Linked DNA regions of Mus musculus. The protein of the gene in region 1 interacts with the protein of each later gene in a biochemical or structural test. Links are inferred from orthologs where the notes say so. Each region holds a gene or a part of one and is shown in the gene's direction. Other genes may lie near its edges. The genes, in order: Bnip2 and Arhgap1.

The links.
Region 2: the proteins of Bnip2 (region 1) and Arhgap1 form a complex in vitro, tested with the Homo sapiens proteins (2 studies listed by BioGRID). The link is inferred for Mus musculus from reciprocal best matches to the Homo sapiens genes BNIP2 and ARHGAP1.

Annotation. Positions count from the first base shown.
Region 1 is NC_000075.6:69,994,022-70,007,137, forward strand, and holds part of Bnip2 (BCL2/adenovirus E1B 19 kDa protein-interacting protein 2), read left to right. Parts: intron 1-1,399; 5' UTR 1,400-1,456; coding exon 1,457-1,506; intron 1,507-2,096; coding exon 2,097-2,164; intron 2,165-3,059; coding exon 3,060-3,236; intron 3,237-5,072; coding exon 5,073-5,249; intron 5,250-6,821; coding exon 6,822-6,924; intron 6,925-7,958; coding exon 7,959-8,090; intron 8,091-9,357; coding exon 9,358-9,444; intron 9,445-9,547; coding exon 9,548-9,646; coding exon of another isoform or gene 9,647-9,800; exon of another isoform or gene 9,801-9,978; intron 9,979-10,284; coding exon 10,285-10,320; intron 10,321-13,021; coding exon of another isoform or gene 13,022-13,042; coding exon 13,043-13,094; 3' UTR 13,095-13,116.
Region 2 is NC_000068.7:91,661,723-91,674,192, forward strand, and holds the end of Arhgap1 (rho GTPase-activating protein 1), read left to right. Parts: intron 1-575; coding exon 576-663; intron 664-6,474; coding exon 6,475-6,606; intron 6,607-6,763; coding exon 6,764-6,850; intron 6,851-7,006; coding exon 7,007-7,105; intron 7,106-7,463; coding exon 7,464-7,571; intron 7,572-7,662; coding exon 7,663-7,739; intron 7,740-7,929; coding exon 7,930-8,007; intron 8,008-8,423; coding exon 8,424-8,552; intron 8,553-8,743; coding exon 8,744-8,847; intron 8,848-8,989; coding exon 8,990-9,178; 3' UTR 9,179-10,603; downstream 10,604-12,470. UniProt on the Homo sapiens protein: GTPase activator for the Rho, Rac and Cdc42 proteins, converting them to the putatively inactive GDP-bound state. Cdc42 seems to be the preferred substrate.

The DNA of each region.
Region 1 (13,116 bases):
ATTCAGGGATTTAATTTCCTTTAGTTTGTTTTTAGAATATCATTTGATATGAATGTGAATGGTTCTCATTTATTAGAAAGGTTTTGGGTTTTTGGTTTTTTGGGTTTTTTTGGTTGGTTAGTTTTTGTTTTGTTTTGTCTTTTTGTACATGGTTTTAAAAAATCGGGTATTAGAGTAGAGAAGGGCATTGGTGTGCTGTTTCTGTGTGCTGCCCTTTTTCTGTGTCAACCACTTGGAGCTACTACTACTTTGGTTTTGTTTTTATTTATCTGTTTTTGTAGTTCCAGTTATGCTGTGTGGCTCTTAAGACAAACTCGAAGCTAGGCATTCTGGCCAATACCTGTGGTCCCAGAACTCAGGAGGCAGGAACAGAAAGGTCACAAGTTTGAAGACAGCCTACACTAAGGGGCAAGGGTGTGTCTCAGGGATAGAGAATTGTGTGTCAGTGCTCTGTAGAGACTTGCTCTGTTGGTTACTGATGTAAGGAGTTGACAGGCAGAGGACCTCTGCTGCGGTGATTTGCCAGCTGTTTTTGTGGTACTTTTTACCGACTAATAGTCATGACTTTTTTAGGATTTGTTTATTTTGTATTCTATGTATGAGTGTTTTGTCAACATGCATGCCATACTCTTGAAGGTCAAAAGAGGGTGTATAGCCCCCCCCCGAAACTGCGGTCTCAAGTGGTTGTGAGCCATCTCTCTAGCCTCCCTTCATGACTTATACCGTACCTCAGCTGTCTTACTCTGTCAGACAGAAGGTGAGTCAGTGCAGAAAAACCAAGATTAAACTTTGGGGCATGACTTAAAATAGATAGTTGCATATGTGACAGCATCAGTAGCTGGAGCAGTGAGCTCTACAAGAGAGGCATGGTACAAATGGGAAGTACATCAGAAATCAGTACAGTTCCTCCACTGGACAAGCGCCTGAGTAGACTCTAAGTGACCTAGAAGTGGTGAGAAGGAGCTGTAGACACTGCATAGCACTGGACTCTGGTGAGCATGCATGTACATGGAACATGCTAGTGCGCCTCTAGTCCTACCCCTGTGCAGAGGGCAGACTCTGGTGAGTATGCATGTACATGGAACATGCTAGTGCGCCTCTAGTCCTACCCCTGTGCAGAGGGCAGACTCTGGTGAGTAGGCATGTACATGGAACATGCTAGTGCGCCTCTAGTCCTACCCCTGTGCAGAGGGCAGAGGCTGATTTACTACTCTATGCGAGAGACACCATTTATCTGCAGTAGGTCAAGTTTCATAACCAGACTACTGAACTAAAGCCGCTGGGGCTGTTGGCACGGAGATGTGAGCTTCAGGAGAGATTGCTGCACCTTTGCAGCAGATGAAGGGCAAAGTGGAAATGAAACTGTTGTTCATCTTTCTTCCTCCCCTTTCTCCCCCAGGACCTTGGCTGCCTGGATTGCCAGGAGCTGGAAGTTGACATTGAGTCTAGGCTGAGGATGGAAGGTGTGGAGCTGAAGGAAGAATGGCAGGATGAAGATTTTCCAATGTGAGCAGTACTTTTTATTAAACGGATTTAGAACAAAACATCAGAATTTCTTTAATGAAATGTCAGCTCTTGAATGTTGGACTTTTTAAAAAGAAGGTTCCAAGTGATCACTGGGTACTAGGAAATGAAAGTTATTTTCCACCAAATATGTGGCTGGTTATCTTTTCATATTTGTCTTAATCATTTCAACTTCAGGTTTTTAGGGAGCTGTGCTTTAAGCTAAAGTCTTTGGTTTTGGAGGAATGGGCTGTCAGCTCTCTGCATAAATGAATAGAGTGCCAGTCATGGTAGTGTCTACTTGTAACCCCAGCACTGTGGAGATGGAGACCAGAGCCCCAGGCCAGCCTGCCAGCTAGCCTGGACTATTTGATTAATCCCAGGCTGGTGACAAATGCTGTCTCAAATGGTAGACAGCCCCTAAGGAACATCTGAGATTATCTTTGACCTCAACACACACACACGCACAACAAGCTGGTTTGTAGAACTTATGAAACATAGGTTTAGTCCTTATAACTGTGACACTTTAGTGGATCTTTGTCAAAAGAATTGCTTTTAATTTCTGGGTTAAAGAGCTTGTCTCTGTCTTCTAGACCTTTACCAGAAGATGACAGCATTGAAGCAGATACACTAGATGGAACTGATCCAGACAGACAGCCTGGTAAGACTTTGTGGTACTTTTAAGTACATTTCTTTCTACATATATATATATATATATATATATATATATAGAGAGAGAGAGAGAGAGAGAGAGAGAGAGAGAGAGAAACCAACAACATTGAGCTTTTTTTTTTCTATTTCCTGATAGAGAGGGGTCAAAGGACAAATTTTGGAATCCTTGAGAAATTTAACTTTATAAAAAATAAACCTTTGGTTTTCAAAATTTTTACAAAGAGCAAAAGACTATTTAATAAATGACTATAAAGTCGGCCTCTGTTGTTTAAAAGGAAATTGGTACATTCTTGATCTCTTGACAAAGAAGCAGTAGTAAATAATTATTTTAAGAAGAGACAGTGAGTGCCATTCTCCAAGTCCACTCAGACATCTCATGGTACTTCTAATTAATTTCCTGGCCCGCTACCCTCTCCTGGACTCTGTGGACACTGCACTCAGGTGCATATAACCACACAGAGACACACATGCATATACATACTTAAAAATAAATTGGGAATGGAGAGGTGGCCTAGCAATTAAGAACACTTGCTGCTCCTGCAAAGAACCCAGGTTCAGTTCTTAGCATCCACATTGTAGCTCACAGCCATCTGTAACTCCAGTTCCAGTTTCCCTGGAACTCTTCTGGCCTCCTTAGGCACTGCACAAAAGTGGTGTACAGACATATATGCAAGCAAAACACCCATATACATAAAATTAAAACAAATAGAATAAAAATGTATCTTCTTTTAGAAAGCAGCAGCGGTGATCACAACCAGGTTTTATTAATGAATATTTTGGAATTTTCTTTTAAATGTTTTTCTCAAGAGTGAAGTGACTAAAATGTTCCTCTGTGAAATGGAGCATCTGAGTAGCCCAGTCTTCTTCCTTGTTTCCAATTTCAGGCTCCTTAGAAGTTAATGGGAACAAAGTAAGGAAGAAACTGATGGCCCCAGACATCAGCCTGACCCTGGATCCTGGTGAAGACTCTCTGTGGTCCGATGATTTGGATGAAGCTGGAGAGGTTGACCTGGAAGGCTTAGACACCCCATCAGAGAACAGTGATGAGTTTGAGTGGGAAGGTAATTCACTCTTTTTATATGAGCTTTGTGAATGAATGTTTATATTGCATAGTGTTTACCATGGTGTTCTCTTTAGGAGAAGTATGATATGGCCAAATCTTAACATAAAGCCTGCTAAAATCCATTGAAGGATTTTGTTTGAAATATGTTATTTTTTCTGCAGTTCCTAAATTTGTTTCTAAAGTAGAAGATTCTGAAAGTACTTGAAGTTTTCAAGACTAGATTATGAAGGTAGCTTTCTTTTAGTTTAGTTTTGTTTTTCCTTACTTGCCCAATATTGTATAGTTTTGATTTTTCATAGTTGCTTCCAAAGTATTGCCTAATATTCTAGTATATTCTTGTCAGTCAATCTGGGGGCGGGGTGGGGCAGGGAGTCCTCTAAAGAGACATATTAAAAAAATATGCTAAAAATCACCTATGGAGCTGGGCATGGTGGCACATCCCTTTAACCCCAGTCCTCCAGAGGCCGAAGCAGAAGGATCTTTTGAATTCCAGGCTAGCCTGGTCTACGTAGTAAGTTCAGTGACATCCAGGACGACATAGATCCTGTCACAAATAATAACAATAACTCTCTAAGCACCGGCAGAGAAGGTGCTGAGGAGGCTGTACTTAGAAAGCTGCGCCTTGAAGTAGTGAGTGCTTAGCCCCAGTGTGGCACTGCGATTGTAAGCAGTTGGTGTGCAGAGGCATTGGTGTATGTTTTGTTTTGTGTGCGTTCTAGAACTAGGCAGTAGTTGATTGTGAGATTTAGACAGATATTAATAATCTTTTTGTTTCATCTTTAAAGTGAATTTTGCAACAAAACTGTACTTAAAAGAGATAGACAATAGGTAATGAAGAGTGATACTCTGTAGCTTTTGTTCTTTTTTTTTCCCCTTCCCTGTTTTACTGGTTCAATAAGCAGCCCAGTAAGAAGCAATCTTTTATACAGACACTGAAATAGTTTTCTGCCTGTGTGTTTTGTCTCTTTTCTCCTTAATGCTGCTGTAGTCATTTCCTGGAAGGATATTTTCCGTTAACAGCTTTGTCTTGGAAACAACTAACATGCAGTAGGTTTCCCTTCCCCCCATCTTTTGGTAAGGACTGGCATACTAAAGTTTTAAAAATCATTACTTCATTTTAAATCAACTAACCTGCAATCTGCAAACATAAATTACACATAATCATTGGAGCTTTGGCTAATGTTAATTTACCTAAATTTTTGCATGTGTTCTTCAGAAGTACATGTCTGCTTTATAAAACTGATCAAAGGGAAAACGATCACTGAGTAGTTAACCACTTTCTATCTTGTATTACAGTGTTTTGTAATTAGTGTATGTGCTAAAACTGTTGGCTCTCGGATAGTTACTAGAAGTAAGATGTATTAGTAACTCTGATGGACACTGTTGTCCTGAATGAAATCTGGAAAGGCATGCGAGGTAGTAAGATTCCGATTGCTCTGTCTTTCCTACGCCTGATGTAAATGTTGCACTGTAACTTGGTGCTTTGTTGAATTGGGCAGTAGAAAGTTTAAGTAAACTGATTTTAAAGACATAAATTGGCCTTAAGTAAGAACAAGCCTTTTCTTGTTATAAAGGTGATGATGTCAGCTTATATATTGAAGATTCTCTGTAAATAATTGTTATGGTGGTGTGCACCTGTACTCCCAGATGCTTGGACACTAAAGCAGGATCACCTGAGCCCACAAGTGTGAGGCGAGCCTGGGGAGCCCAGAGCACACCAGGAAGGAAACAGAAAACACTTGGAGTAATCTCGATAGGAAAGTGGTTAACATACAGTTTTGATTGTTATTGTGTAAATAACAGTTTGTGATTCAAAAGCCTTTTATTTTAACAGATGATCTTCCCAAACCCAAAACTACTGAAGTCATTAGGAAAGGCTCGATTACTGAGTACACAGCCACAGAAGAAAAGGGCGATGGACGCCGCTGGCGCATGTTCAGGATTGGAGAGCAGGACCACAGGGTGGACATGAAGGCGATCGAGCCCTACAAAAAAGTTATTAGCCATGGAGGTGAGGCTTAGGGCGGCCCTCTGGGTCTTTACATGCAATGTCCAAAATCTAACGCTGTCAAAAATGTGCCTAGACATAGTAGCTTGTTTTGAAAGAAAAAGAAAGATTCTCAGACATTTTGATATCAAAGGTTTAATACTTTGTTTTAATTTTTTTTAATGTAGATGTGTGTTTTGCCTGTATGTATGTCTAGACACCACCACTTGGGTATCTCATGTCTGTCTCCATGGAGGCCAGAAGAGGGCAGCAAATCCTCTGGAACTGGAGTTAGAAAATGGTTGTGAGCTTCCATGTGGTTACTGGGAATCAAACTTGAGTCCTCTGGAAGAACAGCCAGTGCTCTTAGCTGCTGAGCAGTCTCTCCAGCCCAAGGATTAGGAAGGTTTGAAGTAAAATGATAAAAGGACAACTAAGAATTACTTCTATAGGAGCTGGGAAGATGTGTCCGCAGTAAGATTACTGGGTGCTCCTCCAGTGGCCCAAGTTCAGTTCCCAGCACCCACATGATAGCTCTCAGCCATCTGCAACTCCAGTTCCATGGGATTCGGTACATTGTTATGGCCTCTATGGCCGCCTACAAATAACTTTTAAACAGTATTTTTACATGTTTACTCTAAGTTTTTAAAGTAGAGTAGTTTCACCCTGTATGTTTACTACTCAAAAGAAGTTAGTTTCTTGAACCCTTTGCAAGCATTTACATGTGACTTATCTTAGTTTACTTAACTAATACAGTTAGATGACTTTCAACAAAAGCTTGTATGTCTCTCAGTATATTTAAACATTTACATATATGCACACATAGGTATAATCCACACTCACATAGAACATTTAACTTTAATCTCTACACCTTTCCAGTGAGTCCATCCTCTCTAATAAGCACTGCTCACAATCTAGCCCACAGCCAGCTTTGCCTCTTAAGGAACGCTGTGTGACTGGTCTCAGCGTGCACTCCTCGGCATTCAGCATGCTTCTAAGCAGCTACATCCATGCCATGGCTTAGCTTATTCTCTAACACTGAATATTTCATGGCCCAGGTAAACTGTGTGCATCGCTACAGTGTTGGCTGTGGAGTTGTTTGCAGTTTGGTATGTGACTGAGATGCTGTTGTGTTGACACAAGCCTCCTCTTGGGCTTTGGGAAGCTTGACTTGACTTCAGCTTTTCATTCACAACTCACCTAGCTCAGTGGAGCACTGTTTGTTTCATTTTGGAGATACACAAAAATTGTCCATTCCCCCTAGGAGACTTGCAGGTCAGTCAAAAACTGTAAGCTGTCACTCTGTTATTCTGACCATACAGTTTAGGAGTTCTCCTAGGTGCTGTGCAAAATAGTGTTCACATGTTCCTGGTCAGAGTGCAGTTCACTCTGGATAAAATGTGTTATAATCTGGCCAGATGAGCTTTTTTTATAAAATTGTTCCTACTTAGTTTGCTTTGCCAGCTGCATCTCTTGGTCAGCCCTATAGTCATTGTACACCTGGAAGCTCTGCAGTCACATATACAGAGTTAAAAATGATAATCCTATAGAATAAAGTTATGCCAAAGACTTTTTACCCTTCTTTCTTCTTCCCAGGATATTATGGGGACGGCTTAAATGCCATTGTTGTATTTGCTGTCTGTTTCATGCCTGAGAGTGGTCAGCCTAACTATAGATATTTGATGGACAATCTCTTTAAGTAAGTATGGCTTTGGGGGGCCGTGTTCAAGATAGTTTCTCTGTGTCTCCTTGGCTGTCCTAGAACTCACTCTGTAGCCCAGACTGACCTTGAACTCATAGAGATCTGCCTGCCTCAGCCTCCTGAGTGCTGGATTAAAGGCATGAGCCACCACTGCCTTCCTAAGGAACTGTATCTTAACAAGATGTTTGAACAGAATTCTGAACTGATTAGACTCATAATTTATGCAAGTCTTGTGAAAACTAGAAGAAAGAAGCCAGCTTGATGGTACAGGCCAATAATCAGCTATTCAGGAGGTGAAGGGAAAAGGATCACAAGTTGATGGCATGTCCACACTCTATACAGATCAAAGTTAGGGTCAGCCTGGGCAACCGAATGAGACCTTGCGACAAAATAAAATGTCAAGAAGAACTGGGGATACAGTTCAGTGACTGCTCTGGCCTGGCATGCATGCATATGTGTGTGTATGTATGTGTATGTGTGTGTATATATATATATTCCGTCAGGCAATAACAGTAACAACATATAGAAGTCACCCTACTTCTGAGTCCCCAGGTCTTCATTTTTTAGCATTATGGAACTATATTTTCCAACTCGGTGGAAAAAAGTTGCATTTTAAAATTAGTATAGATTATCTCATCCAACTTTAGTATTTGGAAACATTGCTTAAAAAGGTAACTGACCATCTCAATATTATATGACTAAATTACTTATATCCCTGGGACTTGACCTTGTGAGCTGACAAGCCACTCTTTTTTCTTGGCTTAGTGAAGTTTTTCATTTTGTACTGTGAAGCTCTCGAGTATACACAGAGAGAAGCCGAGCATGCAGTGCCTAGTCCCACCTGTCCCCTGACCACACACAGTGCCATGCAGGCTGCAGGATTTGTTGTGACTTTGTTTTAAATAGTCCCACCATCACCTACTGCTCGTGCTTGCTCTTACTGTGGAAGAGGGGGGGAACTGTGTTTATTTGGGAGTCTGTTCGGTCCTGAATGGTGATGTCTAAGACATATACTTAATTTGTTTTTATAGATATGTTATTGGCACTTTAGAGCTGTTGGTAGCAGAGAACTACATGATCATTTACTTAAATGGTGCGACAACTCGAAGAAAAATGCCCAGTTTGGGATGGCTCAGGAGATGCTACCAGCAAATTGATAGACGGTGATGTAGACCTGGCTGAGAGATTTTTACAGTAGTTTTATTAGATTAAAGTATTCTTTCTGTTGCCATTTAAAGATAACATCAATTTCTTCGGTTTTACTTGTCAACTTCTGAATGTTTTTATTTTTTTAAAGATGGCCCTTAACAATGTCATGGCGAGTAACTTGAGTCTGCTTTTAGTAAGAATGACTTTAATTCTTCAAAACACACAAGATTGCTCTCCATTCTTCCTTATGCCGTTTAGAACACATTATTTAGTATTCATCTTGGAAAAGGTTGGACAATGTCCCTCTGCTGTGTACTGTCCTGTGGGGCCAGTGCAGGTGCACAAGTTCTGTGTAGACGTCAGGAGTCACTAAGCTTACTACTCAGATGCTGGCCTCTTTGTTGCTGAGACAGTCTCTAGCTCAGACCTCGAGCTGATAAGCCAGGTACCTAGAGAGTTCCAGCACTGAGATTATGTACCACACCATTCTCTTCTTTTTTATCTGGGTTCTGGGGAATGAGACCTGGGTCCCCATGCTTACACTGCAGGCACTGGACCAACTAGGCCATCTCTCAGGTTTCCAGCTATAGTTTTTTAAAACAATCACTAAAAATGTGTTATCTTGAGACTCATTTGTCCACACCAATCAAGCAACTCTAATCTTGCTAATGGTTCAGTGTTGCCTTCGTTGATTCAAGTGGTTTACCCTGACTTGTTAATAGGGTTTGTTTTTTTCCCCTAGGAAAACATGTTCACTATCTTCTGTGATTGTTTTTTTTTTTAATACATACAAATATCTAAAAAGAAGCTTTTACTTTATAGTGAACATTTTTAAATTTCAAAGTGTTATTGAGTCTGACTCCTGGCTCACTCCTTTGGTTTTCTCTGCCCATCCCCCTTACAAGCTAGTGCTTTTCATGATATTAGAAGCAAATGCCACTTGTTCCCTAGATTTGAACAGAAAAAGATGGTTTACTTTCTTTCATGTTCAGTATCAGCTTTCCTTGCCGGAGGAGGAAATGCTAGCAGGCATTTGAAAGCAGACAAAGTAAGCCATGAACTTGGACAAATTAAATAAACTCTATTTCACAGCATCGGAGGGATGTTTAGAACTCAGGAATGTATTTTCTTGTCTTTAGAATGTTACACTTGAATGAAAATTGTTGGTGACTTTTTTTTCCATCTATTTTGTACAAATTTGCATTATACTTATTTATATCTAACTTTTTTGTGCTATAATTTGTAGAAATTTTGTATAATTTTTTTTCTTTTTGTCTTCAGATTAAGGAAAAACCTTAAGTCTCTAATCATTGTGCACCCCTCTTGGTTTATCCGAACACTTCTGGCTGTTACACGACCATTTATCAGGTAATTTTCTGAGTGTCCATTTAAAAAAAAAGTATCTTGTATTTAAATGTCAGATTTATGAGTCAGAAGTACGGAGATAATTGTTTTGTGTTTTCTTCCCCAGTTCAAAGTTCAGTCAGAAGATCAGATACGTCTTTAACTTGGCCGAGCTGGCAGAGCTTGTTCCCATGGAGTATGTCGGCATACCAGAGTGCATCAAACAGTACGTCTGCCCTGCTTTCCTTCCCTTCCTGGTTGTGGGCAAGGGGAATGCTTTTCCCTCTCACGGTATTCCAGAACACAGGGTTTGTAAGGAACCCCACAGCTTCCCCTCACAGCACCATGTTTACAGAACTGGAGGTGATGGCCACTCATGAGTCCTTCTGTACGCTAAGTGCTGTTTACAGTCCGAGAGATGACTTCCTGAAAAGGCAGTCCTGTAGAGTAACTTTTCTGCTCGACGTATTACACTCTCACATGGAGTGAGTTTATCATATTACTGAAAGAACTCATTGCTAAAGAAACGAGTTGTTGATTAAATCAGCTTGGTCTTAATATTTTCCAGAAACTAGAATTTTCTGTTTCATCGTTCACTTCCGCCTGCCTTCTAAGAGACTTGGAGAGACTGTTGGTTGAGCAGTGGCATCACAGTGCTGTGGTGCAGTATTTCTCTGACTGTTACTGTTGGTCTCAGGGTTTAGGCTTAAGTATTTCCAAACCAGATTTACCAAGTTGGTTTGTAGTCACTACATCATGTTAAATGTTAGCATTTCATATTTGTGCCTACACAGTTACACGTTCAGTCTTTTTTTTTTTTAATCTCAAAATGTGCATTTACTGAAATAACTCTTCCCTACCAAGGTATGAAGAAGAAAAGTTTAAAAAGAGACAAAAAAGGTACATGCACACCTTGACTGGGTTGCATCTAGACTAGTCCATTTGCATTGCACAGACTAACCCTGCTGCTAGTTGGTTAGCTTGCAAACAGAGACTAGCATTTGTAAATATAAATGTCGCCCAGAGCCGAGGACAGGGCAAACCCCAAGCTCCTCGTGCTCAATATGAGCATGCTTAACGTGTGTGTCGTATCAGAGCTCTCCTGCTCTGTGTGCTGAACCCAGAGAAGTGACTGGGAGCCCTGGCTAAAATCCCAGGCCTTTGAAAACTTTAGCATTTTGCTTTTGAAGTAGATAAACAGACATTTTCAAGCAACAGCTTATTCCCTTGGGGTCGATGATTATATTTGCAATGCATATACTCTTTGGCTAACCAACATTGATTTTCTCTATATGCTTAAATAGCCTGCTAACCAGTCAAACTCTACATGTGATAAAATACCTAAATTCAGTGTACCATTTAACAGTTAAACACTCTGCTTTCTACTTGAAATTTAATTTTGAACACTTCTGCTTTGAGTGTAACAACCTTTCATTTGTTAATGTCTTAGCATAAAGATGAAAGGCAGAGCATAAAATAGTTTATCATTTTATATAGTAGTTTAGAAAAGCCTTGGTCCTGATTTATTCATAGTTTAGTTCGGGAGTTTTTGTTTAGTTTTGGAGCTGGTCTTACTCCGTATCTCAGGCTGGCCTCTCTTTCACAGTCTTCTGCTTCAGTATCCAACTGTGAGCTTGTGCTTCTCCTCCACCACACCCACTGTTAGTAGATTTCATTTTATTTTTAAATTGTAACAACAGCATTAGCAAATGTCACTTACTATGATCTTAGAGACTAAGATGAGAGACGTACATATGTTACTTTAACCATCTGTGGGGCCAGTTAGAATCTTTGCTGGTGTAGTCTTAATTTTGAACAGTGTGATTCTTTTGGTGAGAATTCAGCTAACCATTTAAGAGTTATTTTTGTGTAGCACTTTCCAGTTTAAACAAGATTCACTAATCTTGTGTAAAGCAGTATGTAACTAGTAGCTTGGGTAGTAGGGTCTGCTTCTCTAGGCAGTGCTGTGTATATGCCTGACAAATGGATGAAACTCAAAATAGCATCGATAATTATAGATAGTAGTTGGAAGCCACCTACTTTCTAGACTTTAAAATGACTTACTGGGAGTTGGGGCTGGCAAATACCTTTAATCACAACACTTGAGAGGCAGAAACTGGCAGATTCTGTGAATTGAGGGCAGCCAGATCTACATAGTGAGTTTCAGGAGCTGGGGGGGGGGGGTTGAGAGAGGGGGAAGAGGGGACCCTGTATATATAAATGCTTCTGATGAGGAAATGTGCTGGTAATACCCCTTTTAAAAAGGTTTTAGTATTTTATCAGCTGTCATAGGTAATCCAGGCATCACGTAAAAAGTGAAACTTAATGTTTTACTTTTGTCATTTGAAAGCATTCACTTAATCTATGTTCCCCTGCTAAAAAAAAGAAATGTAGTCATTTATCTTGCATTGTTTCCCATTGTGCTTGTGTTCATTCCTCAGTAGTGTCATTACTGATGTCTTTCAGCCCTTAATTCATATAAAACTTCCTTTAGTATTAAAAAGATGATTTGAGAAATATTTAATTATCTCTAAATACAGAAATATGTTTAAGATAAAACTGGGGGGGAGGGTTAGTTGTGGCAAGCATCTGTTAAGTGGAACTTGGACAGGCATTCCTAGTATTTGCTAGGAACTAAGGATTGAGGTATAGTCCTTTTAAATGTTTTACCTGTTTTCTTTCTGAAATGTGGTGTCCTGTGGCCAGGCAGCTGTCATGCTTCAACAGTGCCTACAATTACTTCTTAATAGTAGTTCATACTTTAAAAAATCAGTTGTATATTATAGGCCTTAACAAGAGTATTAGCTAATCTTTGATGCCAAGATAATATATTTTTACAACAGTTCTGGCCTTTTTACTTTTGATTGACAGATATTTAGGTAATTGTAGGTATGGAAACAGGTGTGAAAAAGAACCATCCTGCTGTGTACTAGTGTGACTTATATATCTCACACCAGCCATTCAAGCTACTACAGAGTCAGTTCTGTTACATTATCTTCTCATCTCCATGTGCCTACATTTTCTTAGTACCTCTGGCCAACCAACCATTAATCCAGTGAGATTTTTTAACTTGTTATAGATACTTCTGAATGTTGAGTCCATATGGCTTACTTTCATAATAAATGAACAGCATTCACACACAGTGTACCAGTGAATTCCAGAAAATAGTATAGTTGCTATTCTGTAAGACACAATTTGGTTCTGGATTTTAAAAATGTTAATTGGTCAGTTGGTGATTTAAATGACACATTTAAATTTCAGTTAACAATCATTTTTGAGAGAGTTGATTTTTCTGTCAGCAGTCCTACTCACTAAACTTCTTGCTTTAGTGGAATTATATCAGTTATCAGCTCTCAGAATGTTTATGGCTGTGAACATAAAGTATCCTGTGGTCTTAAAAAAAATAGTGACAATGTATTCTTGCCAGTGTCCTGTTGCTTAGAAAAATTCTGTTCCTTTTGGGAAATGTTTGCTTGATTTTTTTTTTCTACTTATCTGTTTTGTTTGCAAAGCTTTGTTTTTTTAACGGAATCATCTGTGCTAAAAGTAGTTTTCAGAAAGAAATCATCCAGTTGCCAGTGTCATGACTGTTTTTAAATAGCTGTGTTTTTTCATTGAACAGAGTTGATCAAGAGCTTAATGGAAAACAAGAACCACCAAAAAGTGAGCAGTAAGTTCCGTGTCCAGCCCGGACAA
Region 2 (12,470 bases), on another chromosome or scaffold:
ACTCAGTTTCAATGTGACTTTTTTTTGAGACTAGATCTTAAGTATCCCAGGTTGGCCTTGGACCTATTAAGTGTCTTGAACTCTTGATCCTCCTGACTCTACCTCCAAAGTGTGGGTTTACAAGTGTATGTCACCATGACTGGGTTAAAGAGCAAGGTTAACATGTGTAAGTCTGTGATCTGTGTTCCTGATGATGACTGTGAAGAACAAGGAAGCTATCGATGATGCAGACTCACAGTTGAGAAAGAGAAAGAGTTGGGGGAGATCCACAGGGTCAGCAGGGAAGACCTGGGAGGACTGGGAAGTGAGTGTGCTCAGGTTCCAGGATAGAAAATTCTCAAATAATCAATACAAATATTAATGAGAAAAAAAAAGCAAGGTTAAAATTTGTTGGGAGGTTGCCCCACTTCAGTGCCCCTGAAAGCAACTGCACCCAGCATGCCCTTGAGGAATGGACATGAGATTCTCAAGCCCCTACACTCACTGACACAGGCCCCAGGTGGGTACTTGCTAAGCCCCGCCCACTACTCTGGTCCACCTTTCACCCACTGCACTCCATCTTTCTTCACACTCAGGTGATGATAAGTATGGGCGGAAGATCATTGTATTCAGTGCTTGCCGGATGCCCCCCAGCCACCAGCTGGACCACAGCAAGCTCTTGGGGTGAGTACCTGTGGGGAAGTGGGGTGGCACCTCTCTAGATCCTGAGTAGCCTGGAGCCATTTCCCTTCATCTACGCCCCCCCCCCCCAACCAGGTTTCCTTCCTTAATGTGACCTCTCATCCTTAAGGGGGAGAGCACTAGGACTAGACAAGGAGTCAGAGTCCTAGAGACTGTGACCTTGGCAAGTATCTTAGAGCCTTAGTTTCTCGTCATTCAGAGAAGATAATGAAGCCTGTGGCCTCTTTCTTGACAGGAGTGAGATAATGTACCAGAAAATAATCTTGAAAAGTAAATATATCCAAATATGTATAACTCTGGTATTTCTGATGTAATCTTGATTCTTAATCATTTCTATTTATAATCATAATTAACATTATCTTACTTTGTGCCAAGTTTGCTGTCAGTGGTTTTTGTACCTGTGGGGTGTCTGCTTAGCATATATGTATGTTAGAATCTTTCCTAGCACAAGTCCAAAGGCTGCTTGTCTTAGTCACTTCTCTATTGCCGTCAACAGACACCATGACCAAGGCAGCTCTTATAAAAGAAAGCATTTAGTTAGGGGCTGGCTTACAGTTTCAGAGGGTTAGACTGTTGTCATCATGGTAAGGAGCATGGCAGGCAGGCATGATGCCACGCCGGAGAAGTAGCTGAGAGCTACATCCTGATCTGTAGGCAACAGGGAAACACACTCACATGTAGACATGCTCAGTGGTTAAGAGCACTGACTGATCTTCCACAGGATCCTGGTTCAATCCCCAGCAACCATGTGGCTGCTAACAAGAGTCTAATTCCAGTTTCAGGGGATCTGATGCGTTCTACAGGCGTCCACAAGTCCTGTATGCATATGGTACACAGACATTCCAGCCGGCAAAACATCCATACACATAAAATAAAAACCAACAAGGTCACACCTGATCCTTCTAATCTTCCTCAAACTCTACTCTCTGGTGACTAAGGATTCAAATACATGAACCTGTAGGGGCCATTATCCTTCAAACCACCAGTGTTTGAAGGAGAATGGTTGAAGCAGGGTAGAAACTGCTGTCAGTGTGCTCAGAGTGGCCATCATGTCCGTTTTCCTGGCCAGTTTAAAGTGCTCTCTAACATGTGACGTATGTGCACCACCTACAGTAGCTCCTTGACACCCTGAATGTTGTGCACGTGAGGATTGTAGTGATCTCGGGGACAGGCTTGAGGACCACAGAAGAAAGGCTCAGCTGGCCCGTGGTGAGGCAGAAGCTCATTCCTTGTGCTGTGTCTATAAGGCCTCGGGTGCTGTCTGTCTGTCCATCTGTCCGTCCCCCACCCCACCCTGTGACTTCTCTTTCCTTGGCTCCTTAGATAGAGCAGGCAGAGTCTGGTTGGAGGGCCATCATATGTCCAGCCAGGAATCCTCACCTTAGAGTTCAACCTAAGGACGCTGAGTTACAAACCCCCTCTAGCTTTTGTGCCATGCCTGGTGTACCAGGTAGCAGACTTGCGGCCAGGTATTAGGTCCAGTGAGGGAAGTCCTAGGCAGTTGGAAAGCACCTTGGTTTTAGGGGCAGTTGCTGAGGAAGTTGTGCCTATCTGGGGTTTTCCTTTAGTCTCAAGAATCCCTGGGCAATTTGCAGCTGCCTGTCTTCCTTCTATTCACAGACACAGACATACATCATACGCACACCACACATACAGACACACACACATCACAGACATACACCATACACATACTGTACACACACAGACACACACCACAGAGAGAGAGAAACACACTATACAGATACACATCATACACACTACACACATAGAGACATACACTAAACAGATACATACCATACACACACACCACACACAGACAAACACAAACACACACACCTCATAGACATACTCACATCACAAACACACACACACACCATGCATACAGACACATAGAGACACACACTATACAAATACACACCATACATACTACACACATAGAGACATACTCTACACAGATACACACCATACACACACACACCACACACAGACACACACACACCATACATACAGACACATAGAGACACACACCACATTTATACACACCATCTCAGACACATACACATACACCACAAAGACACACAGGCATATACCACACATATACAGACACACACACACACACACTTACACTCACACAAAGACACATACCGTATACATCACACACACAGACACACATCATACACACATAGATACACGTCTCATACACACACCATCCTATTCCCTACCTCCCTACTACTACTACTACTACACACACACACATACTGATACACACTTACCACACACATCACACACAGACATACATACCACATACACACCACACACACATAGACACATATCTCACACACACCATCCCATTCCCTACTTCCCCCCCACACACATACTGACACACACCACACTACACACATCATACATACACTACACACATCAAATACATACCATACACACACACACACACACACACACACACCACACACATCACATACCACACACACATCCAGACAGATAGACAGACACATCATCTCACTGCCTACCCCCCACACACCCTGCCTGCCTGGTCACCATCCCTGCTGAGAGCAGACTGTGCTTCCACTGGCTCTGTGTGCCCTGTTTTCAGTCCTGTTACATCAGACTTGGCTTTCCCCACTCCTCACCCAGATCTAGGAGGTTGAAATGGAAAATACCAGTTGAGCTAGAGCTCTGTATTTTAACTAGCTGTGTGCTTGGAGGTAGCTCTCTGAGTTCTGTTTACATGATGTCTTCCTCAGAGAGTTGTTGTGGGTAATAATGAAATCTAGCATGCATAGTTTTAGAGGATTGCAATTTTGGGAAGTTAAAAATATATAAGTAGTTATTCAGGAAAAAAAAAACTGTAAATTTATGAAGTCTCACAGACCTGTCATCCAGAAAAAAAACCACTGTATTCATTTTTATGTCTTATATAATTTTTTTCATCTTCCGTGTCTACAACATTCTCAGAGACATTCTTTAAAACATGTTATGCTGGGTGGTAGTGGCGCACGCCTTTAATCCCAGCACTTGGGAGGCAGAGGCAGGCGGATTTCTGAGTTCGAGGCCAGCCTGGTCTACAAAGTGAGTTCCAGGACAGCCAGGGCTATACAGAGAAACCCTGTCTCGAAAAACCAAACCCAACCAAACCAAAAACATGTTATTTAGCAGGGTAGTGGTGGTGCATGATTTGAATCTAATCTCAACACTTGGGAGGCAGAGGCAGGAGGATCTCTGTGAGTTCAGGGCCAGTATGGTCTACAGAGTGAGTTATAGAACAGACAAGGGTACACAAAGAAACAAACAAAAACAACAACACCCCCCACAAAAAACCATTATTTAGCTGGGCATAGTGGGTACACACCTTTAATCCCAGCACTTGGGAAACAGAAGCAATTGTACGTCTATGAGTTCTAGGCCAACGTAGTCTACATAAGAAGTTCCAGTGCGGGGCTGGTGAGATGGCTCAGTGGGTAAGAGCACCCGACTGCTCTTCCGAAGGTCAGGAGTTCAAATCCCAGCAACCACACATGGTGGCTCACAACCATCCATAACGAGATCTGATGCCCTCTTCTGGAGTGTCTGAAGACAGCTACAGTGTACTTACATATAATAAATAAATAAACCTTTAAAAAAAAAAAGAAAAGAAAAGATTTAAATGTCTTAGCTTAAAAAACAAATAAACAAAAAGGCATTAAAAAAAAAAAAAAGAAGTTCCAGTGCAGACTCTTAAGCAGTGAAACTCCGCCTTTCCTTTTACTACCAAAACCCCACACAAAACATGTTGTTTTTTCATCTTCTGCACTAATATGCACATAGAAAAGTAACAAATAGTGTACTACTTTTTTTTCATCTTCAAGGCAGCTCTCATTTTGTTTCACAAGCTGACCTTAAACACAAGGGCTCAAGTGCCCTCTTTCCTTCAGCCTCCTGAGCATCACTGCACCCGGTTGGTTCCTTGTGAATCTGTATCTGATGATGCCTGGCCTCAGTCCCAGCACTTGGGAAGCTTATGAAGGAGGATTTTGAGTTCCTGGCATGTCCTGAGCTACAGAGTGCGACCTTTTTTCAGAAAAACCTACATACAAAATAAAACAGCAACTCCATACCTATCAGTGTCACCCCATCCGCACCCCACTTCCAATTGGCTCTTCCAGTGTCTGCCTCAGGGCTGACCGCTGTTGTGATGCCTGACTTCACAGCTTAGCCCTGCCTGTAGAAGCATCCTGTGAGATAGTCTATTTATAGATGTCCCATGATTTATTGAGCCAGTCTCCTGATACTGGACAATTTGCTGGCTACTTAGTTGTTGTTTTTTCCGTAATAAAACTCTGGAATGAACAGTCTCCTACAAGAATGCTTCTACTCCTCTGTTTCCTCAGGAAAGAGTCCTCAACATGCTTTTCTGTGATCAGAGATGGGGTGCGCTGCCCAGCTTCTGATAGGCATCTCTTTATTGCACACAAAGGTTACTGCATGTATCCATGGATGAGGGTGTCGTCCACTTTACTGTCATCTTTGCTCCTTTCCTAAATGCAAATGCCATCGTTTTATGTGACAGCCCTTTGCCCTTTGTAAACTTCCGGTGTGGAAGTGTGAATAAGGGCTCAAGTATTCTTGGTCTAATACTGGTCAGAATCTGGTCATCTAGCATTAGTACACATATGCCCTGCCTACCTGTGCTGGTCCAGCTCTGCACCCGGGGACTAGTCATTAGGCCTCTGACTCTAGGGCAGGTCGGTAGTCAAGCCACTGGGCACTCTCTCAGACTTCCCTCCTTTTGGATGTTTTTAGCATTGTGCCTGTCCAACATAGACTGGCTTCCCTACTAGAGCCAAGGAGCTGATTGATTATCTGTCTTCTAAGAGGTCTTACCCTAGGCTCTTCCCCCTCCCTATTGTTCATTACTTCCAAACTTTCCAGTGTGCTCAATGTGAGTATGTGTGTGTGTGTGTGTGTGTGTGTGTGTGTGTGTGTGTGTGTATGTTGGGGGTACATACCCTACTGTGAGCATAGGGAACATGAGGCGTATGGCTTTGTGGTCCATTAAGAGCCTAGGGATGGGAATAGTTGAGCTTCTGGTCTTCCTGATGTCCTTTCATAAACACAGTATTTTATAAACTGTACCACAGATCATATAAAATAGGCAGAACTGTTCCAAGGTCTAGAGTGCAGTCTTGGAGTTGGTCACTTCACTACTAGGTCCTACCACAGCTGAAACCTTGGCTAAGCACTTGACCTCTGCAGATTGCCCTCATTAGTAAGATGTGTTAACTTTAGCCTCAGTTGTTCCGAGGGAAGAATGAGGTATTAGAGGTACTTGGCAAACACTGAAAGCTTTTTTCCAATATCAGTGACTGTGCTTGTTACTGCCTCATGGAGATTCCAATGTCAAACCCTGTCAACTGTGCTTACACAGCCCGGTCTGCAGCTCAGGGCCCCTGACTGCTGCTGCTGCTGCTCACAATGAGGGCTTTTGCATACTCACTTCTGCCTTAGGCCCACCCTCTACCTCCTTCCTGGAAAGCGGCTGTGGATTACATAGCCAAATGATAGCAGGGAGGGTTTGAGGAGAAGGAAGCCTTGATGCAAGCACTGGTTTCTATGGTAACAGGCCACACCTGTTGTGCAGAGGGCAGGTCTGAGCAGGTCTTTTGTGTGTATGATGTTAGGTATTAAGCTTGTAGCTCACACATGCTAGGTTGTGTATGATGTTAGGTATTAAACTTGTAGCTCACACACTGCTCTACCATAGAGCCACAACCCCAGTCCTGGACATTTCTCTTGAAGGTATTTGAAACACACATTGGACCAGTATGTGGAGAGTGACTACACACTCCTGTACCTGCACCATGGCCTGACCAGTGACAACAAGCCCTCCCTCAGCTGGCTACGGGATGCCTACCGAGAGTTTGACCGCAAGTGGGTTGGGACATAGGGATGGGCTGAGCCTAGGGTGGCTAACTCTGAGCTCTGGGTGGTTCTCTTAGTCAGGAACTTACTCCTTATCAATGGAGGCAGGACCCCAACAGCTCTGCCCCTTCCTCCACCATTCACAAGCTTCCTACTTGGCCTGCAGGTACAAGAAGAACATCAAGGCTCTGTACATCGTGCACCCAACCATGTTCATCAAAACTCTGCTTATCCTCTTTAAGCCTCTCATCAGGTGAGCAGGCCACAGGTGGACCACTGAGTTTTTCATGTACCCCTCACACAGCAGGCAGATGGCCAGGGTGGCCAGCTTGGGGTGAGCCTGTCTGCAGGGAGGGCCAAGGCCTGCCGTGAGACCCAGCCTGACCCAGATCCTTCTTTTTACCTCCAGTTTCAAGTTTGGACGGAAGATCTTCTACGTGAATTACCTGAGTGAGCTGAGCGAGCACGTGAAGCTGGAGCAGTTGGGGATCCCTCGCCAAGTGCTCAAGTGAGACAGCAGGGTGGGCCCGAGAGCTGGGTGCGCAGGGGGAAGGGGGGACTTGTGGGTCCACTGGTCAGCTGTGTGCTTGTGTTGTTTGGGAGGCAGAGTAACCTGGGTGGGAGTCAGGAGTCTGGGGAAACTGGAGAAAGGCAGTGTCAAGATCCAGAGATAGATGGAACCCCATTTCTGTCACAAGCTGTTGACTAAATCTCTTTAGAGTGTTTTTTGCTGCGTTACATCAAGTGGGACTATTTTGAGGACATAGGAAATAATGCGTGTAAAATCACACAGTGAAGACTTGATAAAGTTGGCTACAAGACTACAGAGCCGGGGGGCCTGACCCTTGTTCCATCTGCTCCCCTAGGTATGATGACTTCCTCAAATCCACACAGAAAAGCCCTGCAACAGCTCCCAAGCCCATGCCACCACGGCCCCCCCTGCCCAATCAGCAGTTTGGGGTCTCCTTACAGCAGTGAGTATGCTAAAGCCAGGCATGTCAGGCTGGGGGTGGGGTGGGGGTGGACCAGTATGCAGAACCCCAGCTCACCTCTTTGCTCCCTCAGCCTCCAGGAGAAAAGCCCAGGCCAGGACCCCATTCCCATTGTCCTCAGGGAGACCGTCGCCTACTTGCAGGCTCACGGTGAGTGCCATGCAGTCCAAGGCCTGCTGAAGCCAAGCCACCTCGTCACCCAGCTGCCCTTGAGAAACTCTGGGCAGGGCATAGAGAAGTGCGCTCCCAATGACCCTTCTTGGAACTCCAAGACTGATAGGGTAGGGAGGAGCTCCATCCCCCAGAGCGCTGAGACTCACCAGGCCCCCTTGGTTTCCAGCTCTCACCACTGAGGGCATCTTCCGGAGGTCTGCCAACACCCAGGTTGTCCGGGAAGTGCAGCAGAAATACAATATGGGTGAGTGGGCTGTGTGTGCACATTGATGGGGTCTCGGTGTGTGTTTGAGAAGGTGAGGCATGCTGGGAGTTTGAGGGCTGTTAACATGTCCCAGGTTTTCTTCTGGCCAGACGTTTCTGTGTCCTTTGGTATGGCCACATAGGTCCTACTTCTGCCTGGACGATCCAGGTTTGCTGCCTCACGTTCAGGGGCTGCAGCCTTGGGTTCAAGCTCATGTAGAGGAGTAACTGTCCTGTATGACAGTGACCTCAGGCTCTGGGTGGCCTGAGTCATCCCTTGTTACAGAAGAGAAGAGGCAGATGTATGGGGTGTCCTGGGGAAAGGCAGCTTGGGCAGTGGACAAGGACAGAGTGAGGCATGGCCTGCTGGCCCCTGGCTTGCCTAGTGCTCTCTCAATCTTTTTCTTCCCCATGAAGGGCTGCCGGTGGACTTTGACCAGTACAACGAGCTGCACTTGCCCGCTGTCATCCTCAAGACATTCCTTCGGGAGCTTCCTGAACCCTTGCTAACCTTTGACCTGTACCCCCATGTTGTGGGCTTCCTCAGTGAGTTCTCTCTTTCCTCCTCAGCTGTGCAAATCCTTTGGCACTGAGCCTTCTCTCGCCCTGCCCCGCAGGCTTGTGGGCCTGAGCAGCTCCTAGGAATTTCAGTTGGGGTTCCCCCTGCTAGGCTCATCATATCAAGGTTTCCAAAGCTAGTCCTATGCCCTTGTAACCTAGACCTCTATTCTTCACAGATATTGATGAAAGCCAGAGAGTGGAAGTGACACAGCAGGTTCTCCAAACTCTGCCAGAGGAGAACTACCAGGTGCTTCATTTCCTGACTGCCTTCCTGGTGCAGGTGAGATGTCCCCTGGCTTCCTCAGCCCACCTGGTGAGGTGACGGGGAGGAGATGCTCTCATTGCTTGGATGCTCTGGAAGGAGCTGCTGGGAGTAGGAGGCAGAGGCCAGAGATTCTAGCTGCAGCCCTTTCCTTCCACAGATATCTGCCCACTGTGACCAGAACAAGATGACCAACACTAACTTGGCTGTAGTCTTCGGCCCTAACCTGCTCTGGGCTAAAGATGCTGCCATCACCCTCAAGGCTATCAATCCCATCAACACCTTCACTAAGTTCCTCCTGGATCATCAAGGGGAATTGTTCCCCAGCACAGATGCCCAGGGGGTCTGAGCTCACCACCTCCAGCCCCTTCTCTGGCAGCCCGAGTTGGACTTGTCCTCCTGGCATTAACCTTACTGGAGTCCAGGGCTCCTGCCTAGGAAGGGGCCCTGAAGCCCCAGAAGATGGAAGTTGGAGCCTACTAACTGGGCAGCCCCTCCTGTCCCTCTGCCCGTCCCACCTTACCGGCCCTGGAGGCCTCTGTTACCGTAAGACATTTTCTTTGCCTTATACCTCTCACTGCCTCTCTGGTTGCTGGGCTTGGTTCTTCTAGGATTTAGCCACAGTAAACCTTTTCCTTTTTCCTGCCTGTTTCCCTGGCGAGTGTAGAAGACTACATCACTGCTGGCTGTGCTGGTAGCTGGGGCTGGTCCTCTCTTTCCTGATTGCTAGGAAGTGAGCATTGGCCTGGGTGCAAGTTCCCTGTGCCTGCCCTCCCTGCTAATAGGGATGATAAGACCAGAGTTGGCCTGTCACTTCTGCCTCCTGGGTCTGTTCTTCCCCAAGTGGTACTGCCCCCAGAGTGTACTATTCCCTCATTTCTGCCACACTTGGCACTTTGGATATCAAGACTCAGAATCTGAGTGTCTATTGAAATGGTCCTGTCCACTCCCAGGGAGAGCCGTAGTGTCTGGTAGGATCAGTTACAGCAGTCCTGGCCCTCCATTCATTCTCATGTGCACAGATCTTCAGCCAAAGGCTATAGTAGGTCTTTCAGGTGTGGAGTCATTTTGATCCCTGTTCTAGCCAGAGATACCAATGTCTCTCACTTTCTACCTGGGGACTCTCGGAGAGTCAGAAACTCAGAAGCCCTGAAGACTGACAGAGCTTTTACTAATAGATCACCCCTGCTGGATAGGTTCTAGCAGCTTCCTTAGGGGAGTGTGGTGGCCACAGGGCCTCTTGTCTTTCAGAAAGCTGAGCCCCAGTGATGATTGGTAGCTTTCATTCTATTCCTAATGAAGCCTTGTGACTCTTCCCGAAGTCCACTGCCTAATGACAGGGAGGTACCTGCAGTGACCTTGCCCTACAGGTGTGGCTAGGCATGACAGCTCCAGAGGTGGTACTGGCTACCATGAGATCTGTACTGATGATCTTGCAGCTGAGGCTGGGCCTGACCTCACTGGCTCTTTCTTGCACCACTGTTGTAGCAGGTCTCTGGTGCCACAAGTGCTGCTGTCAGTCCCCAGCCTCACACCTGACCCAGCCTGGGTCACTCTGCTTTTGCCCACATTTTTGTATCAAGTGTTGCTACACTCCATTTACTGAGGAGCCTTTGGACCTCTTGTTTTCCTCCTGCCCGGTCCTGTCAGTCTGTGGCAGGGGACGCTCTTACTGTGAATCTAGTGTTCACATTTACCACGATTTCCTTGGCACCAATCATGTATTTTACCGTTTGCACTTTTTGTATTTCAATAAAAATGTAAATGAAAAAAACCCATTTGGCTGTTTAGGAAGTAAGACCCTGAAATTCACAACCAGACAGGAAGTATGGTATAGTTGAGAAAGAGAGCTTTAGGGAGTCCCCTCCTTAGTCCATCTGCTGTCTGCTAAATTTTCTCGGGGAAATATGAACAAACCTGTACTCCAGATAAGGTACCAATTAATGTCCAAAAAAAAAAAATCAGTCCAAGTCTGCTTGAGGATTGTGATCTCAAGAAGCTGTGTCCCAGAGGACTCTGTGGGAACTGCACAGATGGGGTCCCTCCTTTAGTCAGCCTTCATCTTCTGCACACTTCCAAAATCACATGCAACTGGGGCAGAGTTATATAGAGTATCTAGTTAGGTGACCCTGGCTAGCCAGAGTTATATAGAGTATCTAGTTAGGTGACCCTGGCTAGCCTTCTAAAACTATGCAGGTCAGGCTGGCCTAAAACTCAACAGAGATTTGCCCACCTGAATGCTGGGATTAAAGGCATAAGCCATTCATAGACATAGTCTTAGTTGGGAACCAATCCTGAATCTTCCCGGTAAGAGCCTTTTGTGCGTTTGCGAGGGTGGGACTTTTGAGACAGGGTTTCTCTGTGTGTAGCCTTGGCTGCCCTTGAACTCAGATCTGCCTGCTTCTGTGACACCATGCCCTTGCTTGGTTTAGAAGGGTTACTTTCAGACTGGCAGAACACCTGGCAAGAATGTAGATCTCATCCCGAAAACTAGAAAAGGGTTTGTTTTGAGCCTGGAATTTAGAGGTCTGCCGGGATCAAAGGTGTGCATCATCACATCCAAGATATATCTTATGTGGGTTGTTTTTTGAGACTTGGTCTCCCTCTGCAGCCAGGTTGGTCTCTATTCTCTTTTTTTTTTTTGGTTTTTCGAGACAGGGTTTCTCTGTATAGCCCTGGCTGTCCTGGAACTCACTTTGTAGACCAGGCTGGCCTCAAACTCAGAAATCCACCTTCCTCTGCCTCCTGAGTGCTGGGATTAAAGGTGTGCGCCACCGCACCCGGCTTTGTTCTGATTCTTTTGAATGTAGTGATTGCAAGCTTGAACCATCACATTTGACTTTTATGTTTTGCCCAAATTTCAGTTGTCAAGGGCAGGTTCCAGATACCTGCCTATTGCTATCAGGTCATGGTGGCCTATGGTGGCCCAGGGTAGCTGCCTAGCCAGAGCCACTGGTTACAGCAGTGTTAAGATAGTGGCTGTAAACACTAGCCCCGAGCTTCAAGGAGGCAGTTCCATTGCACAGCTGTGGCCTTGATTCAGGTGCCTTGAGACACAAGGCTTTGATGGTTTGATTTCTTGTAGCAATGCTCAGTGGCAGGCTTGGTGACCCAGGAAAACAGCAGAGCCAGCCAGAGCTGGGGAGAGCTGTTGACTTGTGTTGGGATCCTGGCAGGGCCTTTACAGTTACTCAGGTGCTAGGAAACAAAACCTTGGCAATAAGGTCTCTCAGGCAAAGGGTGAAGCAGACACATTGTTGGCCATGGAGCTGCTGGAGACTCCAGCCAAAGGAGGCTCAGCAAGGATGTTACTACCATTGCTGACCCAGATTGGACAGCTGTGTTGTTTGGCTGTGTGTGTTATGGTCTGAATCCGATGCCGTTTACAAGGGCACCCAGGCTTTTACTGGCAAAGTGGGCTGACTCCATTGTTCTCAGCTCTATTCTTAGGCTGATGGTCCCACTGTTGTCTTTAGGCTGGACTTGACTTGGGTGCAGGGGACCGAGCCTACACAAATATCTTGTTGACTTTTGCATCCAGAACTATGTATACACTGGCTCTGCAGTGTTGCAGTGTGCACTAGGAGGCAGATGTGTATCCATAGCGGGGGTGCATGTGTGTACATCAGACCTAATTATTC